Linked DNA regions of Cricetulus griseus. The protein of the gene in region 3 purifies or fractionates together with the protein of the main gene of each other region. This does not show direct contact. Links are inferred from orthologs where the notes say so. Each region holds a gene or a part of one and is shown on either strand. Other genes may lie near its edges.

The links. The genes of interacting proteins can lie anywhere in the genome.
Region 1: the proteins of Chaf1a (region 3) and Cbx1 purify together in Homo sapiens (affinity purification with mass spectrometry; 4 studies listed by BioGRID and IntAct, with this or other methods). This does not show direct contact. The link is inferred for Cricetulus griseus from reciprocal best matches to the Homo sapiens genes CHAF1A and CBX1.
Region 2: the proteins of Chaf1a (region 3) and Asf1b purify together in Homo sapiens (co-immunoprecipitation; 7 studies listed by BioGRID and IntAct, counting the BioPlex papers as one, with this or other methods). This does not show direct contact. The link is inferred for Cricetulus griseus from reciprocal best matches to the Homo sapiens genes CHAF1A and ASF1B.
Region 4: the proteins of Chaf1a (region 3) and Setdb1 purify together in Homo sapiens (affinity purification with western blotting; 3 studies listed by BioGRID and IntAct, with this or other methods). This does not show direct contact. The link is inferred for Cricetulus griseus from reciprocal best matches to the Homo sapiens genes CHAF1A and SETDB1.

Annotation. Positions count from the first base shown.
Region 1 is NC_048600.1:109,951,144-109,954,833, reverse strand, and holds part of Cbx1 (chromobox protein homolog 1), read right to left. Parts: intron 2,124-3,690; 5' UTR 2,087-2,123; coding exon 1,947-2,086; intron 1,453-1,946; coding exon 1,275-1,452; intron 187-1,274; coding exon 92-186; intron 1-91. UniProt on the Homo sapiens protein: Component of heterochromatin. Recognizes and binds histone H3 tails methylated at 'Lys-9', leading to epigenetic repression. Interaction with lamin B receptor (LBR) can contribute to the association of the heterochromatin with the inner nuclear membrane.
Region 2 is NC_048596.1:160,448,159-160,452,034, reverse strand, and holds the end of Asf1b (histone chaperone ASF1B), read left to right. Parts: intron 1-1,003; coding exon 1,004-1,180; intron 1,181-2,230; coding exon 2,231-2,437; 3' UTR 2,438-3,267; downstream 3,268-3,876. UniProt on the Homo sapiens protein: Histone chaperone that facilitates histone deposition and histone exchange and removal during nucleosome assembly and disassembly. Cooperates with chromatin assembly factor 1 (CAF-1) to promote replication-dependent chromatin assembly.
Region 3 is NC_048598.1:97,490,242-97,493,931, forward strand, and holds part of Chaf1a (chromatin assembly factor 1 subunit A), read right to left. Parts: intron 2,557-3,690; coding exon 2,500-2,556; intron 1,090-2,499; coding exon 887-1,089; intron 1-886. UniProt on the Homo sapiens protein: Acts as a component of the histone chaperone complex chromatin assembly factor 1 (CAF-1), which assembles histone octamers onto DNA during replication and repair.
Region 4 is NW_023276806.1:61,158,678-61,162,367, reverse strand, and holds part of Setdb1 (histone-lysine N-methyltransferase SETDB1), read right to left. Parts: intron 3,587-3,690; coding exon 3,457-3,586; intron 1,797-3,456; coding exon 1,646-1,796; intron 1,549-1,645; coding exon 1,390-1,548; intron 366-1,389; coding exon 1-365. UniProt on the Homo sapiens protein: Histone methyltransferase that specifically trimethylates 'Lys-9' of histone H3. H3 'Lys-9' trimethylation represents a specific tag for epigenetic transcriptional repression by recruiting HP1 (CBX1, CBX3 and/or CBX5) proteins to methylated histones.

The DNA.
Region 1 (3,690 bases), on a different chromosome or scaffold from region 3:
ACTGGAATTTCGAAGGTGCAGCTCTTTTCCTCTGGCATAGAACAGATGGAGAAGGGAAGAAACAACCACACAGAGCCACTGGCAGACTCACCATTTCATCAGGAACATGAGTTCTCCACTGGAGTCAGTAGCTCCAATAATCCGTTCAGGCTCCAAACCCCTGGCAAAGCCTCGTGGCTTTTCTGACTGTAAAAACCAGAAGGACAGAACAATTTTATTGGCATAGGACTATATCCAGAATGAAGTTATTGCTGTGTTTCTAAGAAATGTAATCACAAACATTCACTAAAGGTTTCCTCTGCTTCCCACACCATGAGGTACCCCTGGCATGAATGGGACACACACCCCAAGCAAAAGAAATGTTCATGCTGTCTCTTCAAAGGTAAATTAATTAAGATACTAAGTAAGACAAAACAGCTACTTCAAATCTGTAATGATCAAAACACTGAAAGTGGGCTGGAGAGATGGCTCAGAGGTTAAGAGCACTGACTGCTCTTCCAGAGGTCCTGAGTTCAATTCTCAGCAACCACATGGTGGCTCACAACCATCTGTAATAAGATTTGGTGCCTCTTCTGGCCTGCAGGCACACATGCTGGCAGAACACTGTATACTTAATAAATCTAAAAAACAAACAAACAAACAAAAAACTAAAAGCAATCTATTGACAGCAATCTACTGACAGGAAACAAATTCAGTTGCTGTCATGTGTCTCCAGTAACTGTTACATCCTTTATGCCAGAAGAGGGCATCAGATCTCATTACAGAGCCACCATGTGGTTGCTGGGAATGGAACTCAGGACCTCTGGTAGAGCAGCTAGTCAGTGCTTTTTTTTTTTTGGATTTTCAAGACAGTGTTTCTCTGTGTAACAGTCCTGGCTGTCCTGGAACTCACAGAGATCCCCCTGCCTCTGCTTCCCAAGTGCTGGGACTAAAGGCATGTGCCACCAACACCCGGCTATCCCATCATTCTTGCACCATAGATAAAAAGATTAGATCACTTTACAGGAATAAGTCCCAAATCCTTTTTTTTTTTTTTTTTTTTTGGTTTTGTTATGTTTCAATGAGACAAGGTCTCCTGTAGTCAAGGTCTCTTATACCTGATCCTTCTGCTAGGATTACAGGTGTGCACATGGTTGACTTCCAAATCTTTTAAAAACATTAGTTTATTTCCGAAGGACAGAGGACATAACTGCTGAGATTCAGAGGAAGAAGTTCAAGTATCGTAGCTCATAATTGTAAGCCCAATACTTAAATCCTTGTCCTAAGTTTCTCACCTCTTCTTTCTTCTTCTTTGGTTTGCTTTCCTCTCCCTTATCATCAGAATCAGAATCGGCTTTGCGCTTGCCTCCCTCTGATTTATCTGTCTCATGGGCTGTTTTCTGTGATTGTAGAAACTCAGCAATAAGGTCAGGGCAATCCAGGTTCTCTTCTGGCTCCCATGTATTGTCCTCACTGAAACCAGCAATCACAGCAAGTTACACTTCCACTCAAGTCAACATTTGTAACTAAGAGAGGAGGTAGTCTTGGAAGAGAGTTAAATGATAAGGAACAGCTAGATTTTTGTTCAAAATTAAGAAGTTTCCTAGCAGGGGATGGTAAAGACCAAAGGCTTAGAAACTTGTCTTCTTCAAGGAAAAACTACTTTGCAGAGGTGGACTATCTTATACAAATTGCTCCTCAGAAATCACTGTTGTGGACTGGTGAGATAGCTCAATGGGAAAAAGGAGACATCTGGCAAGCCTGAAGACCTGACTTTCATCCCAGGACTTAAGGCCACACATGCCACATACACAAAACAAAATGCTGCCATATATCGCAGTATTCTGCATGTAGGTCCTTCCTCAGTAGACTATCAGCTGTGGAGGTCAGGACTGACCCCAGGTATACCCATCACAGAACAGGTATCAAGCATAAGGACTGAATTTACCTGTGCCAATGAAACTTACTCTGAGAAACCCTTCCACTTTAGAAGATATTCCACTTTGCCCTTGACAACTCGTCGATCAAGAACTTTTTCCACCACATATTCCTCTTCCTCTTCTTCTAGAACCTCCTCCACTTTCTTCTTGTTCTGTTTTTTCCCCATAGTACCCGCCAGCTTTCCGGTGTAAAGAGTGACGCTGCTAAAATGACAAAAGAAAATAAAAAGGGCATCAAGGCACATTTACTGGTCAGATAAATATCTGGATGGTAAGGGAAATCACAGATGATGTACACTGCTTATGTATAATGCTCTACTTATCTCCAGTTCACAACCACGTTTCCACGTTAGCTAGCAAGTTAGCTATATTTTTTTTTTTTTGGGGGGGGGGGTTGAGACAGGGTTTCCCTGTGGCTATGGAGGTTGTCCTGGAACTAGCTCTTGTAGACCAGGCTGGTCTTGAACTCACAGAGATCCGCCTCCTCTGTCTCCTGAGTGCTGGGATTAAAGGCCCATGCTGCTGCCTCCACTCGGCACGATTATTTTTTTAAAAGCACAATTATTATTTTAATTCATTTTTAAAAATGTGCATTGGTGTTTTGCCATGGGTGTCAAGTCCCCAGAAACTGGAGTTACAGACAGTTGTGAGCTACCATGTGGATGCTGGGTCCTCTGGAAGGGCAGTCAATGCTCTTAACTGCAGATCCATCTTTCTAACCCCTAGCCATGATTATTAATCTCACAGCAAATTTCTTTCCCTTTGGACAAGGACTTATTAAGAAGCCCAAGGTGTCCTCAGCTTTCTTTCCTTTTTTTTTTTTAAAGATTTATTTATTTATTTATTTATTTATTTACTTATTTGTTGTGCATGCAGTGTTCTGTCTGCATGTATGTCTGCAGGCCCGAAAAGGGCACCAGATCTCTACAGATGGTTGTGACCTATGTGGTTGCTGGGAATTGAACTCAGGACCTCTGGAAGAGCAGCCAGTGCTCTTAACCTCTGAGCCATCTCTCCAGTCCTGTCCTCAGCTTTCTATGTGATGGAATTATAGGTGATACTACAATGTGTGGGTCGAACTCACAGAGATCTTCCTGCCTCTGTCTCCCGAGTGCTGGGAGTAAAGGCATGTGCCACCACCACCGCCCAGCCTTCACAGTCTCATATAGCTCAGGATGGCTTTGAATCCCTGATCTGGTCTCTATCTTTTAAGTAATGGGATCATAGATGTATGCTACCATGTCCAGCTAAAAAGTCCCTTTATTTTTCACTTTGCTTTTCTTGAATGACATCATAAATTCACAGCTCAAACTTTAAAAATTCTTTTACTGCATTTACTCATGTAGTCTAAGTTTGGGTGTCACGGAGGTCACGGGACAATTTGTGGGAGTCAGCTCCATGTGGGTCTCGGGCTTGGCTAAGCTACCTCACATGATGTAGCAGAGGATGAACTTGATCTTCTGACCCTCTTGTCTCTTCCCCCCAGTAGTGCTAAAAGACTGAACACAGGGCTTTGTATAATATACAAGGCAAGAGACTACTCTACCAACTGTGCTACAACTCCAGCCAACTCCCATTTTTCCCTTTGGTAGTACTAGGAATTAAACCTTGGGTTTCAAGAATGCTAGGTACTATGCTACAGCCCTTGCCCATAAATCACTATTATTTGACTTAGTTTACTTTATTTCTAAGCCTCAAGACTGCTTAGAAGAAGCACCAGATTAACTATTTAAGCTGGAGTACTGTAATAACTTAGAAAATGAGCAGGGGG
Region 2 (3,876 bases), on a different chromosome or scaffold from region 3:
GTACCACACTTGTTGGTTTTTAAGTTTCTAGATGTATCTAATTGGTGGATTTGTAAACTCAGTGAATATGAAGATGGGCTGTGACTTCCAAATGGTGCTGCTATGTCCAGTCCAGTGTCTAGGCTCATTGGCAAGTGCTAAGGAAATCATGATCCATTACCTCCCTCCTACTGTTTCCCCTATTCCAAGCTACCTGCTCCCCTAACACTCCTGCCTGTTGAGCCAAGGCCTCTTCCAGGGCACATAGCCTGGCCATTGAACATCCCCACTGGGGATGCTCTGCTCTGTGTCATGGATTTGGCTAAGTGTAGGTGTTTTCATTTGCATTGGTTTCATATAACATAGTTGCTCCATCCAGAGCCACACACCCTGATCTGTGATTCTGTTCTCTGTTGCTGGGATTAGTCATCCTGTCCAGGATGACTCCTGACTGGCTTCCCTGCTTCTGCTCAACCTTCTGCAGCTAGACCTCCACATACCTGCACTCTTTTCAGACCTTACCTCTTCTAAACACTGCTCTTTCCCAAGCCCTGAATTTCCCCAGCAGGCCTGGGGCTGCCTCATATCCACCTGACCAACTTCATCTCTTGTCAGTTCCTTTTTGCACCACATTCTGCCTAAACACCCTTGTCTCCTAGTCACATTCCGAAGTTTTGAATTTACTTACTTATTTTTTCCGAGACAGGGTTTCTCTGTGAAGTTTTAGAGCCTGTCCTGGCACTTGTTCTGTAAACTAAGTTGGCTCGAACTCAGAGATCTGCCTGCCTCTGCCTCCCAAGGGCTGGGATTAAAGGCATGTGTCACCACTGCCTGGCTGAATTTACTATTGTTGTTACTAAGACTAAGGACAGAAGGTAGGACTCTGCATACTGAGCAATCATGTTGCCGAGTCAAATTCACCATCTCTTTGTAGCTACCTGTTTGGTCAGTTTTTTTAGTCCAGTTCTTTGGTAGTCTTTGAGTCATGAGTGGCAGTGCTAAAGCCCAGGATGTGTCTCCCCAGGCTGATGCCCCCAATCCATCCCTCATTCCTGAGACCGACGCCGTGGGTGTCACTGTGGTTCTCATCACCTGCACTTACCATGGACAAGAGTTCATCCGTGTGGGCTACTATGTCAACAATGAGTACCCAAATCCAGAGCTTCGGGAGAACCCACCCCCAAAGCCAGACTTCTCTCAGGTGAGGTCTGTCTCTGTACTTCCTGCTTCAGACAGGCCAGTTCCTTTACTGCTAAGGGAGATGGGTGCCCAGGTCAGTGAAGGTTAACAGGTCATGCTGTCTTTGAGGTAGAGCTAGGATGAAGCAAGTCTTTTCTTCTTGAGGCATGCCTGACAGGATCAGGGCTAGAGCTAGGGGGAATGTAGCACACTGTGATCCCAGCATCCCGGTCCTCAGAAGGCTGAGCTGCAAGTATCATAAGTTAGGAGGCCAGCCTTCTCTGCATAATGAGTTCCAGACCAACCTAGGCTACATAGTAAGACCCTGTTTTCAGGTGGGGAGGTGGAGGTGGGGGGGTGCTGGAGGGCCACTGGAGATAGCTTAGCAGTAAGAGCATTGGCTGCTCTTGCAAAGGACCTGGGTTTGATTCCTAGCAACCACATGGTGGCTCACAGCCACCTTTAATTCCAGTTTCAGGGGATCTATGCCCTCTTCTAACCTCCATGGGGATTAGGCACAAATGTAACAAATAGACATGTGTAGGCAAAACATTTATATAATAAAAATAAAGTTTTTTTTTTGTTTGTTTGTTTTTTTTTTAATTAAGTAGGCTGGAGAGAGGACTCAGCAGTTAAGAAACTTGCTGTTCTTCAGAACCAGGTTCAATTCCCAGCACCCACAAGCTGTTACTCTGTGCCCTCTTCTGGCCACCAAAGGCCAGACACACACACACCAGGCACACACGTGGTGCACAGATATATGTGTAGCCAGACACCCATATATATAAAACTTTTTTAAAAATCATGCTAGGCATGGTAGTGCATACTTTTAACCTCAGCACTTGGGAGACAGGGTCAGGCAGATCTCTGTGAGTTCCAGACTAACCTGGCCTACATAGTTGAGACTCTCAAAACAACCCCCCAAAAAACAAATGAACAAACCCAAGCAAAACCAGGATGAGGAAGGCCCTGTTCCTACTCCATAGTGTACAAGCATCTTTTGGGCTCAAAGTGGAGGTAGGAGGGCATCCTGGCCCTTAGGTGATAGGCACTGACACTCTTCTTGCTCCAGCTACAGCGGAACATCTTGGCTTCTAAGCCCCGGGTGACCCGATTCCATATCAACTGGGACAACAACTCAGACAGGCTGGAAGCCACAGAGAACCAGGACCCCAACCCGGACTATGGCCTTCCCCTCAGTTGCACTCCCATCAAAAGCCTGGGCCTCCCTAGCTGCATCTCAGGCCTCCTCCCGGAGAACTCCATGGACTGCATCTGATGGGGGCCAGGCTGGTCCCAGTAGGACCATGGCCAGTCTCCTTGCACACCTAGAGGGGACCTACAGGCCCTCATGCTTGGTCATCTCAAGGATTTGAGGGCCTCTAGCTGCCTCCAGACCTGTCAGCCCCAAGGAAAATATGGACCCCAACCTCTCAGCTCAGGTCCAGAAGAATCCTCTCACTTCTGACCCATCAGCCTCTAAGAAGCAGGTACTCATATGCTCATTCTTTGTGTCATTTTTTCTTCTATACTATCAGTGCCTTTGAGAAGCTCTTTGAATATCACCTTCCTTGAAGCTTGTTTGGGCAACGCTTGGCTAGCCTTTGGCCAAAGGTTGTCACTCCTTCTCACTCCAGTTCTTGGTGTCTCAGGCAAGGAATACTGGTTAGAAGGCAGACTTGGTACCACCAGTGTCCTTCCAGGGTGTCTAGGTCATTTAAGTCTAACCACTGCTAGAAAAATCCCCAAAGGTAAGCTCCCCAGGCCATGAAGGTATGGTGGGTACTTTGGTTACAGCCACCTTCTCATTGTGACTGAGCCTAGCTTTCTAAGAGGATTGCCTTGGGTAGGAGGCATGTTGGAGGTCCTGCTTCATGGAGTTATCAGGGTTTGCTTTGATGACATATTCTCATGAGCTACCCAATACTCCAGGATAAGGAGGCATTTGGCAGGCTGACCTGAGAAACTCCCACTCCATCTACCCTTACCCTAAGCCCTGGGTCCCCTTGCTGCTGCTACATGGATGCTATTGTGAGTGCAGTGTGTATATGAAAATGCTTTTATATTAAAAGTTTTGGTTGGTTTAAAAATAAAAGCACTTCATCTAGATTGTTCAGTTCTGGTTTTTTTTTTACCCCCCACCTGGCATGCCTAGAACTCACTATGTAGAACAGGCTGGCCTCAAACTCACAGAGATCCACCTGCCTCTGCCTCCCGAGTGCTGGGATTAAAGACATGTGCCATCAACACCCGGCCTGTTTTTTTGTTTGTTTGTTTGTTTGTTTTCTTCTTCTTCTTTCTTCTTTCTTCTTCCTTCTTCTTTCTCCTCCTCCCTCCTCCTTCCTCCCTCCTCCTCCTCCTCCTCCTCCTTTTTTTCTGAAACAAGACTTCTGTGTAGCCTTGGCTGCCTTGAACTTGCTCTGTAGACCAGGTTGGCCTTAAACTGAGAGATCCGCCTACCCCTGCTTCCCAAGTGCTGGGGTTAAAGACATGTGCCACCACTACCTGGCCTAAACATTAAGTGATTCTTTTTTGTTTTTTGAGACAGGGTTTCTCTGTATAACAGCTCTGGCTGTCCTGGAACTCTGTAGACCAGGCTGACCTCAAACTTACAGACATCTGCCTGTCATTGCCTCCCAAGTGCTAGGTTTAAAGGCGTTGCCCCACCACTCCCAGCTTAAAACATATTTTATGTGTTTGGATATTTTGCCTGTATTT
Region 3 (3,690 bases):
GCAGAGGCAGGTGGATCTCTGAGTTCAAGACCAGCCTGGTCTACAAGAGGTAGTTCCAGGACAACCCCCAAAGCCACAGAGAAACCCTGTCTCAAAAAACAAAAAACAAAACAAAAAAACCAATCAATCTTTTAAATTATTTTGAAGGGGTCTCATTACATAGACAAAGCTGACCTGCAACTCACAGAATCTCCCAGCACAGGTGCAGATTAAAGTCAGCACCACATCACTTATCAATATAAAGTTCTTGATGGTTTGGGGCTCAATGGATAGTGACAACTTGTCATGCATGAGCCCTTGGGTTCTAGCCCCAACATGTCAAAGACCAGGTGTGTTGGTGCCTGCCAATCACCCCAGCACTATGTGGAGGCAGGAGAATCAAAACTCCAAGATCATCCACAGCAGCATGGCTCACTTACTCAAAAATCATTTGTCATTTATTAGGTTTCAACAACCTCCTTGCAAGGCACAAAGATTTTATTTATTTATTTATTTATTTATTTGTGGCCAGGCATGGAGGTGCATGTCTTTAATCCTAGCACTCAGGAGGTAGAGGCAGGCCTGGTCTACAGAGTGAGTTCCAAACAGCCAGGGCTACACAGAGAAACCCTGCCTCGAAAACAAAGTGTTATCATGATAGGACTGCCTCACCACACAAGAGCTGCTGTAGTGTCAAAACCTCACAGGACACAGTGGTCATCCACTGAGGCAACAGCCCAGTTAGGAAACTGAATAAGAAATCCTGATGGGACCGGAGCATTTAAAACCAAAACTCCCAGTAGCCCAGGAACCACAGCCAGATAAAGCCTGCAGCCCTACAGAAAGTACACAGGCCAGAAGCCAACTGCCCCCTCTGCAGTCAGGCTCCAGAGGTCCGCACACTCACTCCAGAGCCTCCTGTCGCTCCTTGCGTCGTTCCTCCTTGAGCCGCTGCTTTTCCGCCTTCTCCTTCTCATCCTTCTCCCGCTTTTCCCTCCGCTCCTTCTCCTTCAGCTCCTTCTCTTCCTCCTTCCTTCTTCGAGCCTCCTCCTTGGCTTGCCGCGTCTCTTCCCTCAGCTTCTCCTTCTCCTCCCTCTGCTGTTCTCTGTCCTGTAAGAAGACAGTGGCAAAGGTGCACCATGGGTGACCTAAGGCAAGAACTGCCAAGCACACAGAGCCCAGAGTTCAGCTCAGCACCAAAGACACAAGTGTCAGGGCAGTGGTGGTGAACTATTGCCCAGGCTGACTCATTCCCTACATACATTCAAGAACGACTCGATTTCCTTTGAAATGAGAGACTGGACTGAGGGTAAGGACAGGAGCCTGGTGGGTGAGTATTAAACAGAGTCCTGGGTTGGACCCCAATGCCCAGCAGAGATCCTTTTGGGACTGAGCTCTACCCCAGCAGGTCTCTCCAAACCGGAGTCTGAGCCCTCAGTGTCCAGCTTGAAAAAGGACTTCAAGCCTTCCTGTAATGAAGCCTGTGGATGTAGGGCTGCTGCTGTAATAGGCCTGTGTTGGGTGGTTTCTTGGTATTGGGGATTCCAGCATGTTTTGCAACTGTGCTCTGGGCCACAGCTTGTAAGTGCTACTTCCTGGCCAAAAGAGGCAGTCTGACCTGGGTAGGAGGTGCAGGCCTGACTGCATTGTCAGTTCCCGGTTGTTACTAAGGAGACAGAAGCCCAGGAGACTCTGTCTGCTGTACCTTCATATGCGCTGCTCACACAGGCTGGATTGTACCTGGCAGTGTAAGCATGTCATTTGTCACTGGGAGAATGGGGCCAGCCTGGGCTACACAGGGAGCCTCTAAGCAAACAGGACTGGGGTTCACCTCAGAGGACCAGAATGTTCAGCATGCAAAAAGCCTGCTTTTCCAATACCAAATGCCTTAAAAAGCACCCAATGACACCATACTCCTTCCTAACTGCAAAGGGGTTGTGTAGCACAGTGAGCACAGCAGGGCCTAAAGTTTTACACATTAGAGTGTCCCTTTCCCCACAGGCCACATGGTGACCTGGAGACCAAAAAGTCGCAACCAGCTGTCACCTCTGCATTGTCTGGGGCCACTTCCATGTGAACCTAACTCATACCCTTCCAAGGAGAGTGAGACCATGTCAAAGGTATTTTGTTTAGTTTTGCCTTTTTTTTTTGAGACAGGGTTTCTCTGTGTCCTGGAACTGTCCTGGAACTCGCTTTGTAAACCAGGCTGGCTTTGAACTCAGAGATCGGCCTGTGTCTGTCTCCGTAAGTGCTAGATTAAAGGTGTGTGTCGCCACCCCCGGTTTTTTTTTGTTTTTGTTTTTTTTTTTTTGACTCACTATGTAACCCTTTAACCCTGGCTGGACTTGAACTCAATGCCCCTTTGAAGGGAGTTTTCCCAATGGCAGCATGTGCTGGCAGAGACCCAGGCAGAGCCTGCGTACTCAGGACACTCGGTCCACCACCATTGCCAGTGCAGTGGCAGCACAAGCAGGAGAGTCCATAAGCACAAGGCTCCAAGAGCTGGGAGGAGGACCTTACTCTGTGTAGTTTGCTCCTGCCCTTCTCTGTGGAGCCTCTGACGAGTTTCTTGTTAACCTGAAAAGAAAGACATAAGAGCTTAGGTCACATTCCCACAGGGCTCCATCCCACCCCACGGGAAGGGCAGTAGGGCCTAGAACCTACAGGGGACATTCTGGATATGGTCTATAAGCCCCAGGAGAGAGGTGATTTAGCAGTTGACTTTAGCTTGAAGCACAGGGACCTGATTAAGCCCCAACACAGAAAGAGCCAGGTGTAATGATGGACACTTTTAATCCTAGCACCAGGCACTAGAAGACAGGAGGATCCCTGGGGCTCCTTGGCTGGCAAACTCAGTTAGCCCACCCAGGCCACCCAAATGGTGAGCATAATCACAATAAGAATCTCAGTGTGGTGGCTACGCCTTTAGTTCTAGCACTAGGGAGGCGGAGGCAGGCAGGCAGCCAGCCTGGTGTATATGGCAAGACCCAGGCCAGACAGGAAGACAAAGTGAGACTCTGTACCCTACCCCCCAAAATGGTGAACAATGCCTGCAGACCAATAATAAAGGCTGTCCTTCTGGCCTCCACTCACACACAGGAACCAACCCACAAAGGTTGTTTGTCAAAGATGATATATATTCTACTTATGAACTATAAGTAGAATCACCCGTGAGGAGCTGGGGTGTGGTCAGGGATGGAGCCTTCTGCCCAGGAGTCACCAGGAAGAGGCTGAGGATGTGGTAGGGGTGGAGCCCCCACCTAGAATCCTCCTAAAAGGGGCTGGGGGCGTGGCTCAGGGAGTGGAATGCCCCCCCCTCTGTATTGAGACAAAGCAGAAACAAAACAAAACATTGTTGCAAAAGTCTTTTCCAGCAACAGCATCAAATGTTACAGTCAGAACACAAAGGCCTTACTCAGGTAAACTGGAGACAGAGAAGAATACCAGTGAGGAGAAGCCACCAGTGGACAGGGATGAGCTGGAGGCCAGCTCCCAGCAATCAAACGCCACTGTGTTCACAGGAGCTGGTCTATGATCCTGCAAGGTTCCAAATGAAGCCCTTCCTGGTACAAATGAGCCCAAGTTCTTTGTGGTGCTGGAGTTGAACCCTGGACCTGGACCTGCCAGGCATGCCATCACTGAGTCCCTTGTCTGCCAGATGCTTTTTAGAATGTGGCAGGTCACCTTGGGCTGGGCCCATGACCTGTAGTC
Region 4 (3,690 bases), on a different chromosome or scaffold from region 3:
GGAACAGGAAGTCACAGCCAGTCTCAAAAAGGTAGCGTTCTATTTCCTGCATTGTCCGAAGACAGAGACCACAGGGTGTCTTATAGATAACATGGAAGCCCATTTTGCGGTTAACTCTACGCCGGGCTGTCATCCTACGGAAGTCATATAGCAGCGGTACTAAGAGGGGATTCTTGCCCCGGTACTGTTCATTCCTCATGGGTCTGATCCGGGACAGACAAGTGTAACTGCAGACATGAGGTAAATAGAAAAGCTTCTCCATGGGGGCTCGGTAGGAAGGCTCAGCTGGTGCCCGCTCTAACATGCCATGGAAGGCTGGAGGGGCTGCAGGTGTTGGAGTAGATGCTACTGAGGCCAAAGGCGATCTATAAATGAAATGCAAAAATATCAGATCAGAAGATAACAGGACTTTTCCTTTTTTTTTTTTTTTCTTTTTCAGACAGGGTTTCTCTGTGGCTTTGGATGCTGTCTTGGAACTAGCTCTGTAGACCAGGCTGGTCTGGAACTCAAGAGATCTGCCTGCCTCTGCCTCCCGCCCAGTGCTGGGACTAAAGGTGTGCTGCGCCACCACTGCCCGGTGATAACAAGACTCTTTGCTGTACAATTATCCCCCTTCCAACTGGCTAAGGCATTTCTCTCATCTTTCATATAGCTTTTTTTTTCTTTTTTCTTTTTTTTTTTGAGAAAGGGGTATCATCAGCTCCCAATCCTCTGCTCCACCCTCCTAAGAGCTGGGATTATAAGTGTGTAACAATGCACCCAGCCAGCTGTGCTCTGGATCCTACAGATTAAGGTCAGATCCTTTCTTTTAGCAAACAAAAATGGACAATGATACCCCCTGTCAATTCTTCACAGACAGGATCGCCTCTAGTTCAACAGGGCACTTTCCCTAATGCATGTCTGTCTTAAGAAGTAGAGTTTAGTCCTTTACCAAAACCTCTGTATTTTGTGTCCTCTAAACATCCTTACTATCTTCTAGGAGTCAAGGAAAGAAATGATGGGGTCTCTTTCCTGTTGAAGCAATGATAATGGTACCATACTCAAGAAGTTTTGGCAAATGACTTTCTGGTGACAGTGTGTTTCTCAGGCATGGGATTTCTAATTTAACTTTTGTTGCTGTTTTTTAAGACCGGATTTCTCTGTGTAGCCCTGGCTGTCCTGGCACTCACTCTGTAGACCAGGCTGGCTTTGAACTCACAGAGATCCACCTGCCTCTGCTTCCTTAATGCTGGGATTAAAAAGGCATATAACCACCACTGCCCAGCTTAATTTAACAATTCTTTTTTAGCTCAAGTTTCTCACTAACATAACTTTAAAGTAGAGGCCCTTGGAGACCCTGTACAGCAGTCCATTTTGTCAAGCTGCCCACAGTGTCTGAGGTTTTCTTACCTGTATGTCTGGTTGATCCCAAGTTTCCCAGCAGTTACACTTTCACTGAGTGTGGGCGAAGCAGGGGAGGAATGGCCAGAACCCACAGATCCTGGCCGAAACGATGTGCTCTTTTTGGCCACTTGCTTCCGTGACTGAGCAAGTTGGCTTTCTAAGCTTCTAAGGAAGTTGGAAAGAGAACATACAGTAAAGATTCAGAAGTTACGTATGGGGAAAAAAAAAAACACTCCAAGTAAAAAGAATGAGGAGCACTCACTCAGTGTCACCTGCTTGTGGGGAAAGAGGAAGTGCAGCAGGGGGGGCCGGTGTAGCTATGGGCTGTGGGGGCTCCGTGAGCTTGAACTGGGTTCCAGTGCTGGTTAGGTCCTGTGTATACTGAACAACAGGACCTTTGCTCCTCACAGCACCTACAGGAAAAACAAACAAAAATTGACAGCTGTATTAGATATTCTTATTCGCACAGTCTATCAACTAATGCAATATAAAAATGCAGCAAAAGAAAACAGAGGTGGCTCAGGGTCACAAGCATGAGTGCCTGAATTCAAATCCTCAGAACCTATGTAAAGCTAGGCATGGTAGCATGTGTCTATAATCCCAGTGTTCCTGCAGGGAAACGGGAGGTAGGCAACATAGAAATCCCCAGAAGCCTATAGGCAGCTAGCCTTTAGATGCAGCAATGAACAGAACTTGGCTCAAAAAAACAAGTCCAAGTTTGTTTGGGTTTTTTGAGACAGGGTTTTGGGTTTTTTGAGACAGGGTTTTTCTGTGTAACTCTGCAGACCAGACTGGCTTCAAACTCACAGAGATTGCCCTGCTTCTGCCTCCTGAGTGCTGGGATCAAAGGCATGCACCACCACCTCCAGGCTGTTTTTTGTTTGTTTTTTGACACAGTGTTTCTCTGGGTAGTCCTGGCTGTCCTGGAATTCACTATGTAGATCAGACTGTCTTCAAACTCACAGACCCTGCCTGTCTCTGCTGCCTGTGCTGAAATTAAAGGAGTGCACCACCACTGTCCAGCAGGAAGTAGCATGTATGCAAATACCTGTATTCACATACAAAGGTGGCAAATGGCAACTTTCTAAATGTTAAGATAGATTGTTTTGATTATTCACACAAGTTGGTACACTAGTATATGCTGGCTTTGGAAAAACATATTGTTTCAAGGCACAGTCACATGTAATCATGGCTGGTCTCAAACTCATTATGTAGCCAAGGATGATCTTGAACTTTGAACTTATCTACTTTTGTCTTCCAATTGTTTGGAACTGACTACAGGTGTGCACCAACACACATGGCCTTATGTGGATATGTAGAAAGAATCAAAGTGATTGCAATGGGAAGGTAGCTCCACAAATCCATCACCACTAATGAAAACATTCTGGACACATATCTCTTATCTAGTGAGTTAAAAATAATGTTATGGTAAATAAAATGACAGCTGCCAGCCTCGTGTTGGTAGCGCACACCTTTAATTCCAGCACTTAGGAAGCAGAGGCAGGCAGATCTCTGTGGGTTCGAGGCCAGCCTGGTATACAGAGAAAGTTTCAGAACAATCTACAAAGCAATACAGAGAAACCCTGTCTCAAAAAAAACAAAACAAAATAAAACAAAACAAAACAAAGATAGCTGCCATATGTAATCTTCTTTGTTGCATAATATTTGTTTACACTGTAAAGATGTTATCTTTGCCAAAGTGCCTTCTGATTGGTTTAATAAAGAGCTGAATTGCCAATAGCTAGGCAGAATGAGGTTGGGCAGGACTTCTGGAGACAGCACTCTGGGAAAAAAAAAAGGGAGTCACCAGCCAGACTCAGATAGAAAACGGAGGTGCAAGATGGAAGAGAGGTAATGCCATATTGCAAGCACATAGATTTAAAAATATGGGTTAATTTAAGTTTTACGAGATAGTTGAGACAAGCCTAAACTATAGGTCAAACTTTCCTAATTAATAATAAGTGTCTATGTTATTGTGTGGGAGCTGGCTGTCAGGACAGAAAAAGGCTCATTACACTTCTTTGCACGTCTGCCCCGTCTCTTCCTTTCCCTAGGTGTCTTTTAGGGGCATACCCATATTAGGACGGGTTCTCAATTGTCCCCCTTGCTTCTTCTCCATTGCAGAAGCTGATGATGTCTTCATACTGAACATGGGTTCCAGGCGTGTAGAGCCTCGATAGATCCACTCACATCTCTTGTCATCCTGGGAGGCAGGATGAAAGGAAGGTGAACAAAAACCTTCAGGGTTAGAATCAATCCTGTCTCTTGTTTCAAATATATACCATGAGTCACCTCTGACCATTAGGT